Linked DNA regions of Drosophila melanogaster. The protein of the gene in region 3 interacts with the protein of the main gene of each other region in a pairwise test. Each region holds a gene or a part of one and is shown on either strand. Other genes may lie near its edges.

Region 1 (2,736 bases), on a different chromosome or scaffold from region 3:
GCTGCAATAGAAACTATCCTAGCTAGCCATCGCCCACTGTGCACCTGTATTGCGAGGGGCGTTGGAGGCACTATGATCATCTCGGATCGTGTTGAACATGACCAGCTTGACATTCATAACTCATCCTCGGCAGCGTGAGAGGAATAGGGACAGACTGCTGCATTCCTACATCAATTTGTCAGTGCAGTCATTAGACATTTGACTCAACGGCTTGATGATCATCATTGGCGGGATTATGACTGCCACCTGACCATGATCATGTCTGGCTGGCCAACTGACTTACTCACCAGCTAACTGAATGTGGCAAGTGCCGCTTGACCTTTGCGGCAGCCGAACAGATGTTTCTTGAACAGGTCCGGCCAAAAGGCGGTAATGCCTGAGCCGGGGCGTTCCGTTGCCAGTTGAGCAAATGTCAGTTACCGCCGAAGTAGAAATGGAGGTGGAGGTGGAAGTAAAGCCCCAAATGTCCCACCGCCCAATGCTACGTGAGATGGTTAACTTCGATTGCGGTATTGTGTGAGAGCAAGAGACGGCGCTTGTTTGTTTTTTGGTATTTGGTGTTTTTATTTGGCTATTCAGGTGATGAGGATCGTATCAAGTGGCAGCATCGTGGATCGGATGGGCGGCTCTATCCGGACTTCTTGTTGAACAGCAGGGACAGGAGCTGTTGCTTGATTGGCTTAGTGGTGGTGGTGTCCGTGGTGTAGGTGTAGGTGGGGTAGGTCGGGGTGGTAGTATAGGTGTACGTCGTCGTCGTGGGCGAAGAGGGCGTTGTGGGAGTGCTGGTTGTAGTTGCGGTAGATGCCATTGCGATGGCCAGGACAGCGGAGAAACAGACGAGGACAGCGAAGAACTTCATGTTGATTGGATTTTTTGGGCTTTTAGGATTGCTGGCTGGCTGTTGCTTATCGACGGACGAGCTGCTGAACTCTGAGTGTGTCTTTCGCTGGTCCAGGCCTCACTATTTATACCCATATTTTGACTGCGGCAGTCGTAGTATTCCCTGTAATGTTTGCACAAATGGTTCCTTTACCGTTTGCTACATTGCTAGCTTTCCCCCACCAATGTTTACCGACCAACTCATTGTGAAATGCATCCAATGTTTGATCCCCTTCCATTTTCCGAAAAATAAAAGTTTTTCGGGTTGGGAGTGTCAATGACTTGGTATTCTTATTAGCTAACTATCCTAGAATATATGCCGTTCGTAGCTACTGGGCCACTCCATCGAGAAGGCAAAGTCCGGAAGTGTGGCAAGGAACTCCAGGCTCAACGCATCCCGCTTATCATGTGGACTGACATAGTGTCCAGAGACGCCCATCTCAAAGACGGGTTCATTGAAGTTGCCATCGTCCTTCTAAGAATCAGTTAGTTAGTATAGTTATCAGAACGACCCATTAAATACGCACAGAAAGTTCCACGAAGAATTCGATGGGAGTGTTATCAATACCGTAGGTTAACATGACCTCCAGAGGAGGCCTGTAAGTGGCCGGATTATCCAGCATTGCGGGAGCAAACGTCCATCGGAGTAGTTTTACACCATCCAGTGGCTTGAAGAACAGACCCATATTTGGCGGACCAGTTAGCCGGAACTCATAGCGCACCTGATAGCCACCGGACAGAACTGTCTTGCTAAGGAACTCCAAGACCGTTGGATAAGGCAGTTCCACGGGCTCCTCTCGAGCAAGCCAAAGTGCATGCTCCCGGGCACTACAATATCGGTAGCAGGGAATACCGCACATCAGCTCGGAGTCGCAATCCTCGCCCAGGCGTACCAGGTTGGTCAGGTTCATGTGATCGCGCAGAGGTGCCTCTTTGTTTCGATCCCCCAGATGGAAGTAGTAGCCAGAATCCTCGTGGCTGATGGAACCATTGTACTCGAAAAATTTGCGATGCACTTGCTGCTCCGACAAAGAATAGAACTTAGTCGTCTTTCAAAGGATGCTTATTAGTGTTTCCCTTACCATGAAGTCGGCACGCATGACATTTGTTTTGGGCCGATACGGGAATCCGACATCCGAGACGGCAATCATGCAGAAAATAAACATAACCAGTGCCAGACCACCCAGCATGCAGTTCGGTCGCCGAAAGACATTGATTAAAGGAGCCTAAGTGAAACTGATTAAGTAAAGTAGTCAATAAATGTGAATAACTTTCTTACAGCAAAAGATAACGCCAAAATTGTGCCAAAACCACATAGAGCGCCGATTAGTATATCCGGATTGGTGGAGACGCCAAAGCGACCAGTCATCGGAATGAGAATAAGTATGAACATGTGGAACAAGTAGGCGTGGTAAATGAAGGGTATAATCTGGAAAACAATCAGCACCAGTGACCACAGATAACCTAAAGTGTTGGCATGAATCATTAAAAGTTCTCCACGAATATATAAGCTAACTTACCGCGACAATGGAGACGGGTCAGTAGGTTAATGATCAGAGCAGCAACGTAGAAAATGAGAGAGATCAGAAATAGATAGGCACTACGGTATTTAAGAGCCGTTGCACCCAAACACAAGATGGCCAAAAGGACACAGTTCGCGTGACCCACAATATGCAAGTAATAAGTATGGGGGATCTTGTTCTGCAGAGGATAGCTTAGTATAACAAAATAACTTCGTTAACAAGTGATACTACTTACACACTTCGTATGCGTCAAGTAGAGGGTCATGGGCAGTACAAGGCCAATAACCGATGGACAAATGTACAACCCAATGACCAGCCAACTGTTGCTAAAATA
Region 2 (4,964 bases), on a different chromosome or scaffold from region 3:
CTCAGTCCGGCTCTTTCTTCGATTTTTTTTTTTAACATTTTCTTTTTTTTTGTGCAATTCCAAACAGCTGCCAGTTTAGCTTGCGTTTTTATTTATGTTTTGTGTAATCGGGGCCGCTCCTCAAGTTCTTATAAAGAGATAAACTAAAAGCTTAACGCCGCCTGCCGAGGAGAATCCCCAAACAGCCCAGCAATTGTTTGGTAACTCTGCAGCTTTTCTTTAATGGCCGCTCGAGGAAAATTCAAATTTTCCAATTTGTTGCTGTTGCAAACGCTTTTCAACGCTGCTTTTATTAACATTATCTAGACAGCCGAGATGGGCCGCAAAATGCCTTAGATCTCGGGAAAACTGCACTGCACCGTACGATCGATCGCACCCGGAGAATTGTGTGAGAAAATGGGGTGGGAAAAGGCGAAAGAAAAGCCACCCACTGTCGATATAATTTTCACGCTGCTCTCTGAGTTCAATAACCCAGTGCGATGGGAAATTATCGAATATATCTTATCTGACATATTGCCAAATATTTGCGTCGGGGTTACACATTTCATTCATTCCTTGGCTTTGTTTATTGTTCTGGCTGCCGGGCTCATCTTGATTTTTCCCACGAGACAACCAAGACAGCCATGACAGCCGTGATGGGTAGAAAAATCACGGCCAACAAAATACTCGCATGTGGTTTAATAGTGTGTGCTGTTTTGTGTTTCATTTGTTGATATTGTGTCGCTGTCTTTAATATTGCAAGATCATGACACATTTCCGCGGAGTTTGTATCTCGTTTACTTTCGACGTTGCCTCCCCACTATTTCATTGCGAATGTTTTTATTTTTTAACAAGATCAACAAAACGGCGGGGGGGGGGGGGGGGTATCGATCGCAATTTTTGTTTACACTTCACTTTGTTACTTTCAATCCAATTTAAGGAATGTTGTTGGCCTTTGTGGCTGCGTTTCTTCCCTAACAAAGTCGGAGATGAAAAGCGAAAACTATGCAACGTGTTCAACATCGACAGTTTGACATCTCAAAAGTCGCATGCCTCACCAACCCCCTTTAGCACACTGAGAAAAATATTGCACAATTTTAGATTTAATGGATTTATAATTACAGATACTGCTGAGTATAGCCTTCAATAATAATTTCATTTTATTTGATATCCTGTGACCATATTCCGTTTCTAATGGCCAATTACTCATTTGTGATCGATAACTGTGAGATACATGTACCTTTTTCCAGCAAGTTCAACTGTTTTTAACGCGAAAACTCATTTCAATAACAATTGCAGCGACCCAAAAAAGGCCAAAGGAAAAACTGCAACAGCAGAGCTCAATTTGCTGGCATGTCCAGTCTTTTGCTAATTGCTTTGCAGCTGCAAGGGGGCGGAGGCCACGCCCACACGTGCCCCGCAGACCCATTGCCCATATGAACAAATAGTATATATCCATATATATGTATGCATATAGCTATGGTTCATGTTGACCCGCGACCAAGCCGGACAAAAGTCATAAACCCAGTTACCGTTAGCTGCGTAATTTATGGAAATGACTTTGTCTAATTAGCAAAGTCGAGGAAAAACAAGAAAACCAACAACAAACTCCACCCCACTTTCCAGTGGCGTTAACCATAATAACATTTGTATAGACACTATGATACGCAGAAAGGCACGATCGCTTTCCACGGATCGTGCCCCAAACTTCGATTTCTGATTGCTCACCTGCCAAACGATATGTGTGAGAATGCAGAATGCACGTTGGGGCAAACAAAAAAAAAACGAAACTCATTTAGCCATATGTATGCATAATTGTTAGCCAAACTAGTCTAAACAATGGAAAGTATTGATACATCTATTTTTGATTTGTGTCGTTTTCCGCTTTGTCACATTATTTACACTAATTTTTGATGGCGATAACGTCACAAGATTTACATATTTATTTTGGTTGCATTCATGTCAGCAATAATGTTGGGCTATAAAATGTTCATTTCGATAGTGAAGAAAAATGGTTATATAAAATATATATATTTTAAACTTATCTAAAAGAGTAAAAATAAATTACAAGATTTCCGCAGAACAATCTTTGTTTACGCAAAAACGAAGCAATGAATTAATCCTTTATCAGATCATTGTTGAAAGAAATAAAATTTATTGAGCAATTTATTGCCATTTCGAAATAAATAATTTGCATTGAAGAAAACACGGAAACAAATTACACTGTCTTAAACACTTTTTATCAAGGTGCAAATTACCGTAGAAAATTACCAAGAAAATTATCACAAATTGTACATTGAAAACTACTCAGAATTATTGACAATTATTTAATAAAGACATTGTCTTGAAGTTCTCACGATAATTAATTCTTAGACCATTTATGGCATTGTTTGGCAGCCAAAGCGCATATGTAAATGGTAAGCCAACTTAGTTAGCCGCTCCACAAAAATGCAAATTACGTCCATAAGTGACATGTAACTCCTAGACAGGATAGGCAATGCGATTTTGAGCAAGATTAATGCACTAGGAAATGTCGCACCGCGCTTTGACACACATTCAAATCATAAGTAATTGCAATTAATTAAAGCTATTTGCATGTGACTTACACACGGCGAACAAATTCCAACTGACCCAGCCAGTGTTCAGAGAAAAACAGAGATAATCTTGCCCAGATTTAAAATTCCTCTTTATAGAGATGACCCGAAACACGCGCGAATAAATCAAAGCACAATTATGCCAAATTTGCAATCACAAACAATAAATTGAATTGAGTTTTCGCGCTGACATTAAGCAGATACGCGGCACTGTGCCTTTTTTGTACAATAAAATATTTTAATGGCCGTGAATGGGCCTTTTCGAAACATACTATATATATATATTTGTGAAATATATACGGCTCTTGTGATTTTCCGGATTCTGCGTTAGCCGCTTCCGTATGCCAGGCACAAAAACCGAGCGAACTGGCTGCGATCTTTGAGATACAAATTTCCAGCTGGCGCGGCGGAGCTAACGAAATCCAAACCGATCGCTTAGAAGTCCCGAGACGAACTGAAAATGCACAGCCGAAACCGAAAGTCCAGTTAACGATCGGCGATCGACGGCGCTGCCAGTGCAGTCGGAAAGTGGAGCCAAAAGTATATAGATTGTATACTCTGAACACTCCGAACATCGGTAAATATTTAGTTATTTTCTTAAACATTGATTCATTCATATATCAGTAGCACACTTTACTTTTTGTTTACTTCTTTGGAATCGGGATAACTGTAGATGCCGTAGAAAATACGTCGAGTTTTCTGAAATCTACATATATATTTGTTTTTAAAAATATCTTTACCTGATATTTTAGCAAAATTTTGAAAAGGGTAAATTTCTCTAAAATAAGAAGCCACACAAACTTCTACAAATATGTAAGATTTTACTACTCAATTTATCTTGCTAAATATCAGTGGAATTTTAATATGTTTCTCAGGTGTATTCTTATTAGTCTGTATATAATCTGTATATATTTTTTTACAGCTAGAAATAGCCAGCTGGTCTGCACTGTCAGACCAGTCGAAGCCCATGTTCGGTGCACATTGGCTGGTTCGCTCAAACGAAATTGGACCGATGGGGGCACAAGTTGGCTTCCTTTGTTCGATGCAACTGTGGAGCGGATGAATTCGCCAGGCGGAAGAACTCTTTGTGGTGGGGCTGAGGGGCGCAGTGGTGGGTGGTGGGCGGCGCAGTGGGCAGGTATGCCCTCGGCTGGTCGTTGGCTGGTTTTTGAGTGCGTTACAGCTGTTTTGTTTATAGGAGGATCATCTCTGCACTCTCTGCACAGTTCAAACTATTTGGAAGTTGCGGTTTGTGCTTTTTATGGTCCGCCGTTGTTGTTCTTGCGGCCACGGCTGCTTTTGTTGCATCTTCTTCGGTCGGTGGCAAGTTGTTAAGTTAAATATTTACCCACCGCTGCCGGGCAGCCAGTTTAGGCCACGGCTCGCTGATCTTTCACATCGAGAATCCGAGTCCCAGAGCGAAGAAGAACTCGTTTCCAGCCCTTCTGTCCATATCGGGTGCTGGATCTGTCGTTGTCATCATAAGAGTGCTACTGTCAACCACACTCGAAAAATGCCACTAAGTCTAGATTTAATCAAAAATTCATGGGTTAAACATGATAAAGGTTTTAAATGTACTTTAATTCATGTCCTAAGTAAGTCTGTTATATTATATATGTACAGTACTTTCCTTAAGCATAATCACTTTTGTATATAACTTTTTTGATTGTGCTAGATACAATAGTTTCGCCAAGTGCATTGCCACATACTATTAGCCACTGGCAACAGAATAGCTGCCCACTGTCTAAATGCTGAGCACATTGGACATGTCAAAAGGATTTGCGCCTGCGCTGTGGAACATCCAGCATTCAGCATTCGTCCGTGCGAATCCATCCCATAAACTGGTTGCACATTCCCTGGCCAACAGAATGGTCATAAATCGAACAATGTGCCAGCCATTGACAGTTCGCTTAGCTGCACAAAGGTACTACGGTCTTCTCTTAATATTATGTGTGTGTTGCTTCGGTTTCCTCGCCGCCGACAATCACAATTTATTGGGCTATTAGCTGCCACTTGAGTGGGGACTTTGGGTTTGGGGAACACCCACGCCGCGTTCCCAAATCGAATTCAAATAAAGCATAAAAGCATAAGAGCTGAGATAACAAAGCCGGGTACCCCGCTCAGACAATTAACTGATAACAATTCATTAGCATTTCGTGTGGGTTGCCCATCGCCTTCGTCATAATCACGATCTTTTTCATCAGTTGCAGCAGCTCTGCATTGGAGTTTAGGTAATTTGACAGCCATTTGATGACCGACAACATGTGGCCAAAGTGTATCTTCTTAACTGGTTTAGGTGGGAAAGCATAATGGATTCGATTTTGTTACAGGCAATATATTTTTAATGAGAAGTATGAAAGACAAGCCATGCTTAAAAGGTTTACTAAGGTT
Region 3 (4,011 bases):
TGGCAAAGTGGAACAGATTATAGTTGTTCCACGGCAGCAGACAAAGTACCGGGTAATGTACCTCGATTACACGAATGTAGAGGACATAACCGAAATGGATATCCGTCGCTATCCATTAGACTTCACCGCTCCCTGTGCCACAAACCTTTGCGTGATTGACGGTATGGATATTAAACATTTGTCTTGAGCATAACATTTGAACAAACACTTTATAGAATTCCCGCACAACCCGAATGCAGCACAGGTTTCCTATCTGGCTGAGGTTTTGAAGGTCCATCAGTCAGTTCATATTGATAGTATCAAATATATCAACCATATAGCCGTAATTAAATCGGGAAGTCTTATTCAGAAGCTGTTGAGCTTGTAAATTTTAAGTGCATCAAATGCCATTTACTTGACACCACAACTAAATCGGGTCAAACACATTACGAAGTTATTGCGAATAAGCATTACGTTTTATAATTTTAAAAACATTTATATATAAATAAAATTCCATTAAATAACAACGTTAAAGGCTTTTAATACACAATGTTATGTTCCCTAGCTATTGATGCCGTTGATTCTCGATTTAAAATTTAAGTTACACACAACCGGATTACAACAGACGGAAAGGACATGCACAAGAGGTTTTAGTTTGTTTGGTTTTAGTTTCTCAAATGTTAAAAATGGTAGTGAAAGCGGGTCTACAACGACAAAGGCACTGTTTGGTGTGGATCTGAGACTCGCTCCAAGGCATTAGGTGTTCTTTTTCATTGTCATCTCGTGGGCGGTGCGCAGACGTCGTCTGAGTTCGTTTGGAAATCGGTCATAGCACTTTTTGCACACCGGCTTCTCGTCGTACTCGTAGAATTTCGATTTTTGTGTCATCTTCGTGTCGCACACGGAGCACGCAAAGTGGTGCACACACCAGGCCTTGTTCAAGGCAGTGAAAACTGTTGGCATTATGGAATGAGCGCATTAAATAAACCCAGAATATAGTTCAATTAAGTTACTCACCATCGCCTCCAATAACCTGGTTGCAGACGAAGCACAGGTTGCCAAAGAGCTGATGATAGTGCGTCTCGCAGTAGGCCAATCCCCGCTTCTCGTAGTGTCGGTGACCCAAGAAGGGTTTCTCGCACTTGGCGCACACGAAATGTTCCACATGCCAGTGCTTTCCGAGCGCCGTTACCACCCTCTCCTCAATCGGACGACGACAGGCACCACATATGGGAATGCCCATTTTATCGTGACAACGCAGACAATACAGTTCGTTCTATAATGGAATAATAATTCAGTTGCTTCTTATTTGCTAAAGAAAAAAAAACCCACCATATCGTTAGCAGCCAATCCTGGCCGGCTCTTGACCTCCCGAGCAGTGGAATCCAACTCTGTGCCGCAGGCCGTGCAACTGAAGTGATAGCCGTGGTACACTTCGCCCCGGAATCGCAAAGGCTCCTCGTCGATGAGGCCGCTGAAAAGCAGAGTAATTAGCAACATGTTTTCACCTAAAGCCTTTGAAACCTACTGGCATTTTTGGCATACATAGCGGCCGGTAATCTCCGCCTTCACCTTGGCATTGCACTCGTGACACAAGGCGCGGTTCTGGTTCTTGATGAATCCGCAATCAGCCAGCTCCTTGGCGCACAATTGGCAGCGGAAGCACTGTGGATGCCAGCTAGCTGACATGGCCTTGATGACCCGTCCGATGACGAACTCGCCGCACTTGTTGCAGCAGGGAGCGAAGAGCACGTGAAAGTCGCGTTCACAGTACTTACGGCCCTCGAACTCGTAGAATATCCCATCCTGGAAGGGTCGGAAGCACTGGGCACATCTAGAAAATGTTTATTAGTGAGGGTATTAGTGAAACAACTACATTGAGGTTTACTTACACGAAGCACTGGGTGTGCCAGAGTTCTCCATTGGAGTTAACAATCTTCTCAGTCGGCTCGAAGCCGTCGGCACATCGCGTACAATGCATGGCACCCAGCGACATGTTCGCTGCCTGGACTCTGTGAATTAAGAAGAAGATCAGGATCAGTTGTTGGTAAGTAACTAACCAATTCAGAGGCCATTACACTTCAGCCTTAGAGTACATCATGGTTATAGCTTGAGCGCAAAGAAAAACGACTTTAGGGCAGGGCGTGAAATGAGAAACTGGACAAAACAATGAGACTTATCGCTTGCCGGCTCTGTTGACGATGTCTGAATCATATTTCCTTCGAATGCACAGCCAAAAAGCTTTCTGGCATTCCGTGGAAGTTTAGCTTTCATTACAGAGAGTGTCGCATGGCAGTTGGATATCAAGCGTGATACGCTGCAGATGTGATGGCTTGGTGATATATCGTTTCGGAACAGGTTATATATACATATATAAAATATATACGAAGAACTATCATATTCGCTTTAAGCTGGATAACAATGAATGGCTATAATGAGTAATTGAAGTAATTATTACAAGCAGGAGCGCCATTTGAAAAGTTTGTATATAAACAATATATATAATAAGATGTAACTATCAACTCCCCATTACTGGTTGAGTCATTGAACATTCCTTGGCCTCCAAAAGGGGTTACAAATTCAAGCATCCAATTGGAATTGGGTTTGCCGCCAACACAACAGCGGCCCACTCATCATAATCAAATCCGACGAATACACACAAAAATACGAAGAGTAAACAATACACAGACACGCACTCTCGCACAAACACACACACACACTCGAGTGGCGGCGTTTAAAAATAAATTTGAATATGACCATGACGTCATCGATGGAGTAAACATCTGGCAGGAAAATTGCATTGAATGGGGGTCCAAAGCACCACCATCACTGGCAGAGGGTTAACGCTGGATTAGGGCATGAATGATAGGCACTGCTAGCCTGAATTAGTTATATTTTTTTATTAATTAGCGAAATGCTTATTTGTGCGAATGGATAACGATGATTATTATGCTGCCAAATGATGCAATATGTGGGCGTTTTGAAGACAAGGACGTTAAGAAAGTGGGGCGGAACATTCTGCTTACTGCACGGGCGGCATTCTGTGGGCTTTTCTTTTTTAGTTGCTTTCAACTGGTTTTCACTTGCGAACAACGGCACCTGTTGCACCTGGTGTACAACGTTTTCTGATCACGGCGAGTGAAACACTGCAAAAACATATAGAAATGATCAATCTGTGTCTTTTGGCTTTAAGCTCTGCTCGCTTGGCGGCCTTCTAGCCAGATCCGGTTGATTTTCAGCCAAGAAGACGATCTGCGCAGCGCTATCGCAGCACAAAAACAACAACACCTATATTGCCAAAATGGGCAAATCTCTGGAATTTCACGCGTTTCACTTAAGCATGTTCACATTTGAAGAATTGCATTCAACGGAAAAAGTACTTTTTACCTTCAGAGAAACCTTTTTAATTAAAGCCACAGTTTGCTGCAATTAAATTACTTTTCATTTAACTAACAGCTTCCGTGGAAAAAGACGCAGAAAAAACCACTCTACTTTATCACTAAAAAATCCCTGTACAACCTGCCTATCGATAGCTCTTCTGTTCTCGAGGCAGGTAGCCCTGAATGTCAATCGATAAACACCCAATACTACTGGGCGCCAATTTAAATTCGCTATTAGCCTATGTTACCGAAATACATCAGTTAAAAGAACTTTACGATTTAAGGCGCCACGCTTATCGCAGCGTGGCATTTTTGCTTCTTTGTCTCACCTTCTTATCAGCTGCTGGCCAACTGCTGTTCTTCTTCGAAACAGTTTCGTAACGCGCTCTTATCAGCTTACTGCCTCTACTTATAATTTCACGTACTATTTGTTTGTAAACAAGACCGGTTCGCATGCCAATTTAGGCTGCAGGCAAGAAATCCCTTTAGCATTGAATTTGATTGATTTTCTTTTTGCTATGTTACACGCCAATTGGGGAAATACATAAATAAATGTGCAGGGAAACTATAAAAGAATTCAATGCCACAAATGTCATAACAGTTTCGCTGATACTTATCATTAGAAAATATGTATTGATAAGAGAATCAAGAG
Region 4 (7,792 bases), on a different chromosome or scaffold from region 3:
CATTTCAATTTTATGGGCAGTAAAAGGAAGTGCAGAATTGGAATGCGGCATTGAATTAAGACCTCCTTTCAGAATAGGTCGGCCTAAAATATGTAAGTCAAAATAATAATGTGTAAGTCTTTGAACCCATTAATACAGAAGTCGAAGATCTCAAGTTTATTATATCGCGTTGTTTAACAAAGATATTTATTCCTAGAGAATAAAATATTGCTTTGGGTCACAGATAACTACATTAAAACAAAGTCCACTTCAAAAAATTCCACTAAATAATCGTAATTTTCATTACCCCAATAAGTCAAGAATAATCAAAATTGTAGGGTACACTTCTTGCACAGAATATAAATTAAGCAAACTGTGTATATGAATATTTATTTTTTGGTCTATTAAAAAATACTCTCTATATTATGTAAGTATATACGTGCACGCACGTCGTGTCTCAAAAAGCCAATTTAGCTATTCTACAGGTTGTATATTTACACCCGGTTCTCGTAGAGATATACTATATTCGTTTTAAAGAATGTAACAGGCAGAAAGAAGCGTTTCCGACCATATAAAGTATATATATTCTTGATCAGGATCAATAGCCGAGTCGATCTGGCCATCGAGATCTCAGGAGCTATAGAAGCTAGAGAGTTGAGAAGCTTGAGAGAGTCATGATGCTGCGGACACTCTAAGGCCCACAAACAGGCCAAAACTGCCACGCCCACAAAGCCACCAAAACTTTTGAAAATTTACTTGATTAAGAGACTAATAAATTGATGAAAAAGTCAACAAAAATCCTAAAAAACGTATGGCGTTACTCGTCATTCTAATGTCTTTGGCAAAACCAATATATGGCCGTTACGTATCTTGTTATTCTAATGTCTTTGCTTTTACGCTACGGGTAACGGGTATAAAAAGCATCCACTTTCTCCTATCCTATACTATCCTCTTTTAAGAACTGAATTTTGTATTTGCGTATTTGCACGCTTTTTATGGTAACTCAACGATTTTTATAATTTCTCTTGAAATTCATATACATTTACATTAAGTTTATGAGAACGAGTAAAAAAAACTTATAGCAAAAAAAAAAAAACAAAGCTTTAACTAATAAATGTACTTTAATAATAGCTAACACTTTTTTGTGTAACTTACCAAATGTTTTTCCGTGGACCATTTGCATATTGCCAGAAGTCCACTTTAACACTTGTTGATTACGACTTTGTGACATGTTGGGAGACAAATGTTGATTGTTTTGGCCAATGGCAAAGTTTCCACCGCCTAATATCATTCGGGGCTGTACAGCCATTGTTGCGGTCAGCTGTGGCTCAAGTACGTTCTCACGAGTACCGACTTGCTTGGCATTTTGTTGGTGTACATGATATTGTGGGTTCTGACAATAAGTGCTTGGTGATTGCGTATCCTTATCGGCTGTCATTTTTCTTAAAACTGAAGTAGGAGTAAATGCCAACGGAGTTGGAGAGTTACCGTGGGAAATTAGCTGATTAATCGTATGGTTAGCAGTATTTTGCGAATGCAATTCTAGAAAAAAATTAAGGAATTTTTACAAATAATTTTAGTAATAAATAAGATACTTTAACTGAATCAAATATTATATTAATTGAATTTTAAAGAGTTACCATATAACCAAGAATTACTTACCTTGAGAGTAGTGCTGATGGACTGATTGAGGCTGAAGAAACGATTGTTGGGTAAAAATATTGGGATCGCCTGTGACCACCGGATTTCTTTTAGAATGAGAATATTCATTCAACACTGTGGCAATGACATCCTTTGTGGCTGCTGGGGTGCTGGGATTATCCAATTCTTTTTCCAAAAAATCATGTGAAACGTCTCCACAATGAAGTCCTATTTATTATTAAACATTTTGTTTTTCATAATATTTAAATACAGCGCAGGGTATAAAAGCATTAAAATAAGAACACGTGGTTTTTACCAGATACGCTTTAAATAAGTTCCCGTTCTGATGGTAAACATGTATATGGTAAACTGTAACATTCATGTGTTTTATCAGCCAGAAACCTTATATTATTTTACCATAAGGACAAGAAAAAGGACTTAAGTATTCAAGAAAAAGTTTATAGACATGGAATTTTGAAACATATCTTACTTTGAATTAAATGTTGGATTTCCAAACGCTTTTGCAAAAATACATGACTACTAGTTGGCATGGTTGGCACGTTAACACTTAACTCTGGTTGCTGCAAATGACCATCATTTATTTTTTGATGTAATTTTGACTCAAGGTGTACATGATTTGCTATATTTGAGAGGTTTATTGTACGACAATCGTCGTTGCATGGATGATGCTGCCTGGCTTGAGAACCCAACTGTTGCAAAAGTTTTTTGAATGCCTCAGTGTCTCTAGCAATAGGTTTTTCCATTTGCACTGTCTGACATAATGACCCTGCTATTGGATTTATTAAATCAGTCCTCATATCCACTTTTATCATTTGAGCTTCCAGATCCTTAACACTTGGAATACCTTAAGAACAAAGTGAACTATAAGGCCTTTGATATATTATTACAAATCTTGACATACCACGTTTTTCTTGAGCATGCGATTCCCGAAACCCTGGAAACTCATTATTATTTGCAGCTTCTTTTTGTCGAAACCATCGGCTAAAACGGGATGTTCCTTTTGAGTCACTTTTTCCAGTTTCATCATTACTCTGCAAATGTACAATAAATATATCTTAAAATTAATAAGCTTACCTTTAAAATATAAATTCTAGGGTATTAGAGTTGCCGGGGCAAACTTTTTTTTTTGCAAATCCATAGAAATTTACTAGACTAATAAAAATATGAAAAAATATCAGAACATTTTTCAAAAATGTTGGCGTGGCAGTTCTGGGCGGTTTGTTTGTTTGTTTTTAACGCATAAAGTGATAGCAGACAACTGTATGTGTACACAGGCATGCTCATGCATTGTAAATTTCACAAAATATGCCCTTCACCTTAGAAGTTCTTTGACTTTAAATCTATATTATTTTTGATCAATTGGCACCATGCGAAAAATTCTTGTTTTGCATTGCCTTAACGTTATTATTATATGAAAATAGATTAGAAATAGCCAAATCTATGTACATATTATCACAAAAATAAATTTCAAAAATGACTTTATATAAGAATATTTGTCATTAGAGTATTCATCTTGCGGCGTGTGAAAAATTAATAAGGCAATGATTGTTGAGTGCTTGTGTCCGTACTTCGTGCTTCAAGATATGAACAAAGCAAAGACACTAGAATAATTCTAGTGTCTTTGATATGACTTTTGCAATAAACAGTTATCATATTTAATTATTTACTATATTTATTATGTCATTTGACTTAATATGATGTAACATTAACATTAAAAGTGTTTAAAAAAAAAAATATTTCGCTTTTAAAAAATTGTCAGATGAGAGACAAATTAGAATTAAACATAAATATAAATGTGTAAACGGTAGCTAATTCGAGCGGCGATTTTAACAAACAAATTTAAAAAGCTTTAAAATGATAATAGTCAGTTAAAAATTATTTTATTTTATCATATTGCTACGAAATTGACAAAAACTACCCTAATATGTACAATGTAAATTCGTTTCTTTGATCAGAATTGATTTCGGTCCGAAAATCGTCTTCTAGCACAACACGCACACATATATGCGTTCTCGTCTCTTGTTTTTACTCACACAAGCAAGCAAATTCTATTTTTAGATTTCTTATGCTCTCAGCGGGAGCGAGCGGAAAGAGAGCAATTTTGGCCGTCACTAAAAAATTGGCTGCATAGTGCAAAACCAATGTATGGCCGTTACGCATCTTGTTATTCTAGTGTCTTTGCTTGTGCTGCGTCTTCGTATCTATAATCTGTATGCTAAATTGCAACATACTAGTTTTTTTAGTTCCTGAGATCTCGACGTTCATACGGACAGACGGACATGGCCAGTTCGACTCGGCTATTGATCCTGATCAAGAATATATAGTTTACATACTTTTCAACGAATCTAGTATACCCTTTAACTCTTTACCCTTTACTTGAGTAACGGGAGTTAATATCATTATTTACAGCTTATTTGAATACTATTATTGATCCGTCAATAAAAGGTAACCCGGAAGTTGTCCATGTAATGTCTGAATGGATTAGGTACTCATTCCTTAAAATCTAGTTTTTGCAATATATTTACCAAAACGGAATTATCCAAGGGATGCATATTAAGAAAGGCATCAAAATTAAATTCACTTTCAGGATTCTGACTGGGCTGCATCTGAATTGGTTTGTTTTTATTGGGATGGCCGAGATCTGTTGAGTTTTGAATAGAAGTCACTACATTTTCGTCAGTGTGCTTCTTTTCATCACTTGGAATGACTTCGCGGAAATTTAAACTATCATTGCTGTTTCTCATCGAAGCTTCATCTTTGCTTGCTTGCGCGTCTAAATTTTTATCAAGTTGTTGAATTTGATTATTTTTATCTTCAGTTACGGATCGCTCTTCGTTTTTTTCCAGGTCTTCAAACCCGTGTAGATCAATAGTTTCTAGCTGTGATTTAGGTCCTGCACTGAACCATTCAGGTTCTTCGTGAATGAGATAGGAATTGCCACGCTTGCTTCGGCTTTGAGTACTGAAAGGCTCCTTACCAGAAATGCGTCGATTATTAATTCCCTGACGATCAAAAGACTTTTTGGAGTCATATTGAAAACGACGATCTGTGACTTCGGGAACACGTTCAACTAACCTTCCACTGAATGTTCGAGAACGATGTTGGCTTTGATTGTGCTGATTAAGACTGCTTGTACTTCCAGATCCATTTGGAGATGTTTCCTTTTCATTCTCAATGCTGGCTTCTACGGTCTTTTCGTTTTTGTAATCCCAATTATCACTTCTTGGCAACAGCCGACCGCTACCAATCCGCCTTTCTTGGCGGGATGTTGAAAATGTAGGTGAAGATGACATGCATTGGTCGTGATCCGGCTGAACAAAATTCAAACATGTCTCAGCAGTATCCAACTCGCTACCCTTACGGCTAGGCGAACTGGCTGCCTTGCCCTTGCTTGCACAAGTGTTTATCCCCTCGTTGCTTTCCTCGCTGTTGCTGCCTTTCGATATGACAAAACGCCTCTTTGCAAATGCCGGCATTAAATGTGAAGATGATATGCTACGGTGATCGATGATATTCAACTTATAGGGCTGTCCATGAGAAAGCGCATCCTTATCTTTATCCTCCCCACTTATTAGAAGAGAATCGGTAGGTACGAAGCGCTGGTAATAGTTGTTTGCCCGTTCTCGATTTCTCATAGCGCGACGTGAACTTATTGAGCTACTATTGGAACAAATTAAGCTCGAGTTATCTGCTTCTGGAGAAAGTCGATTCTTGTTTTGATTAGAATAGGCGCTGGACACGGTTAACGCAGCTGTGTTCAGATTAATTTTCCAAAAACCTAGCGTCTGCAATTCAAGTCGTGTTGAACATTGCGGGCGCTGTCGACTTTTACCTTCATATCTTAGAGCTAACAGGTCTACTTTCGAGTACCTAATGTGAAACAGATTGTTAAAACAATGTTAGTACATATACAAGTTTAAAAAAACAGTACGCGAGAATAATATCGAAAAAGTTGACTAAAATTTACCAATATTTAATCCACATACCTGGCACTAATCTTTGATGTATCCATTGCTAAGGACTATAGTTCACTGTGTAATCTAACTTATTACAGAAAGTCGAAAAAGTTAAGATATCCAAAATTATTAAAAACAGAACACTCTCCTATATGAACGGGAGAAATTGTACAATGAATATACAAATAGTACACACCACTTATGCAAACACACACTTTGAAAAATTAATATATATATATATATATACGTATTTTAAGGCCATATATATGACTGTTGAGTTTCATGAGAATATAATCCCAAGACGCTTACATACATATATAACAATTTTTAATGCTCACAATGTTGCGATTAGCTTTGTGAATATCACGCTAAATTGGAGTGGGATATAGACATTGAAAATATTTTGTTCTTATTGAACCTTAAGGCATTATATATATTAATATTGAAACATTAAAAGAGAAACACCGTGAAACAATGGAATTTTGAAGTTGTGACATTTGTGGGAAAAGAAATTCTAGGTTTTTCCTACTGGTGCTAAAGCGATACCAGACTAAGCATATCTGTCCGTTCGTATGAGCGTCGAGTAAAGGTGCCGAATGTTTTCTAAAATGATTAATATTATTATTTACACTTGAAAAACAAAAAATAAATTTTATTTATGTAACGTCGATGTTTTATAAAATAGTTTATATGATTATTTACATTTGAAATACTCATAATATATAATATAAATAAGAATATTTTTATATTATTAAACTATTAAATTTTAAATTTAATATAAAACAAATCAAGAAATTATAATCAGGCATGCATTACCGAATAATCGTAATTTGTTTCCGAATTCGATTTGATTTCGTAAAATTTTTTGCTGTCGGAGTGTTTTCTGTACAGTAAACAGCTGTTTAAGCTGTTTTCCAGCGGACACCTTTTTCACAATTTTAATTCCGATGTTCGCATTTAATTTTTTACTGCATTTTGACCGTTTAATTAATTAAATTAAATAGCATTACTTACGAACACTATAGGCCATCTTTTAAATTAAGATAATTAATTCTTTTATATTTTATAAGTAAGTTTAGTCGACGCACGCATGACCCCATGCCAAATCGAAAATTTTTTTTGCCGACGGCAAAATTTTGTATGTCAAATTTTTAATGGGGTCAGAAATAAATTGTATATAAAATAAATAATGAATATAAATAATTAATATAAATCAATAGACCACTGAGTAAACTATTTTTTCCCTTGGTAAATAATATCTTACGTGATATAAAAATGGGCATATACTTTTCATTTCGGCCAGACAAAAGTGTCCGTTTTACAAATCGAAAAATCCTTACGAATTTGAAAACCGGAGCACCGATCTTGCGTTTTAAAATGCCAAATCGAAAATTTTTGTTGCCGACAGCAAAATTTTGTATATCAAATTTTTGATGGGGTCAGAAATAAATTGTATATAAAATAACTAATGAATATAAATCAATAGACTACTGAACTATTTTTTCCCTTGGTTAAGATCTAACGTGATATAAAAATGGGCATATACTTTTCATTTCGGCCAGACAAAAGTGCCCGTTATACACATCGAAAATCCTTACGAATTTGAAAACCGGAGCACCAATCTTTAAAATCGAAATCGTAAAGTACTTCGATTAACGGAGCGTGCCCGATAGATTGATTTTGAAATTTTTTGTAGGTGTACACAGTTATACAAGGAAGTGCACGCCTAACGCTAAAATATGCTGCCGGCGGTCTGATGAAACATGCACGGAATAAGTGTTCGGTCGACTTCGGGAATGATCTTCGTGCACAATGTCTAGAAAATGACATCATGTTCCACACAATGTCATGGTCTATCAAAATCTATAGAGGTTTAGAGTTAAATACATAGCTATTTTTATAGTCATAGTCCCCTTTTTTTGAGAATATACGATAGTTTTGGTTATGGTCTAAGAGTGCGTCACCCAATTTCTATATGCCGTCCTGCATTGACCTAACGGTCTCTACCCACCCATTAATGAAGATAATGACGGCGGTATCGTAAGGATGGCAAAATAGGGATGGTATGGCACAGTACGAAGAAATGTGGTACAAATAAAGCCATATGTCGAGTTATTAAAAATCAAAGTTTTTCATATTTTTCGTATGGTGAGAATTTGTCGTCACATACCATGTCCAAGGGAGTAATAATTTGA

Evidence for each region.
Region 1: the proteins of stck (region 3) and CG13159 interact in a two-hybrid assay, tested with the Drosophila melanogaster proteins (one large-scale study listed by BioGRID).
Region 2: the proteins of stck (region 3) and slow interact in a two-hybrid assay, tested with the Drosophila melanogaster proteins (one large-scale study listed by BioGRID).
Region 4: the proteins of stck (region 3) and 4E-T interact in a two-hybrid assay, tested with the Drosophila melanogaster proteins (one large-scale study listed by BioGRID).

The regions. Positions count from the first base shown.
Region 1 is NT_033778.4:12,373,492-12,376,227, reverse strand, and holds CG13159 (uncharacterized protein), read right to left. Parts: upstream 943-2,736; 5' UTR 860-942; coding exon 629-859; 3' UTR 550-628; downstream 1-549. Other genes in the region: CG13160 (uncharacterized protein), read right to left, coding at 1,187-1,354, 1,407-1,898, 1,962-2,105, 2,159-2,343, 2,400-2,580, 2,638-2,736.
Region 2 is NT_037436.4:4,382,509-4,387,472, reverse strand, and holds the start of slow (slowdown), read right to left. Parts: upstream 3,032-4,964; 5' UTR 2,846-3,031; exon of another isoform or gene 2,586-2,845; intron 1-2,585.
Region 3 is NT_033777.3:8,356,451-8,360,461, reverse strand, and holds stck (steamer duck), read right to left. Parts: upstream 2,135-4,011; 5' UTR 2,081-2,134; coding exon 2,058-2,080; intron 1,992-2,057; coding exon 1,872-1,991; intron 1,814-1,871; coding exon 1,508-1,813; intron 1,454-1,507; coding exon 1,312-1,453; intron 1,256-1,311; coding exon 997-1,255; intron 933-996; coding exon 736-932; 3' UTR 502-735; downstream 1-501. Other genes in the region: veneno, read left to right, coding at 1-161, 216-367.
Region 4 is NC_004353.4:952,379-960,170, forward strand, and holds the start of 4E-T (eIF4E-Transporter), read right to left. Parts: upstream 6,015-7,792; 5' UTR 5,654-6,014; coding exon 5,628-5,653; intron 5,512-5,627; coding exon 4,167-5,511; intron 2,673-4,166; coding exon 2,543-2,672; intron 2,486-2,542; coding exon 2,111-2,485; intron 1,849-2,110; coding exon 1,642-1,848; intron 1,522-1,641; coding exon 1,135-1,521; intron 84-1,134; coding exon 1-83. UniProt on the Drosophila melanogaster protein: eIF4E1-binding protein that regulates translation and stability of mRNAs in processing bodies (P-bodies). Probably plays a role in P-bodies to coordinate the storage of translationally inactive mRNAs in the cytoplasm and prevent their degradation.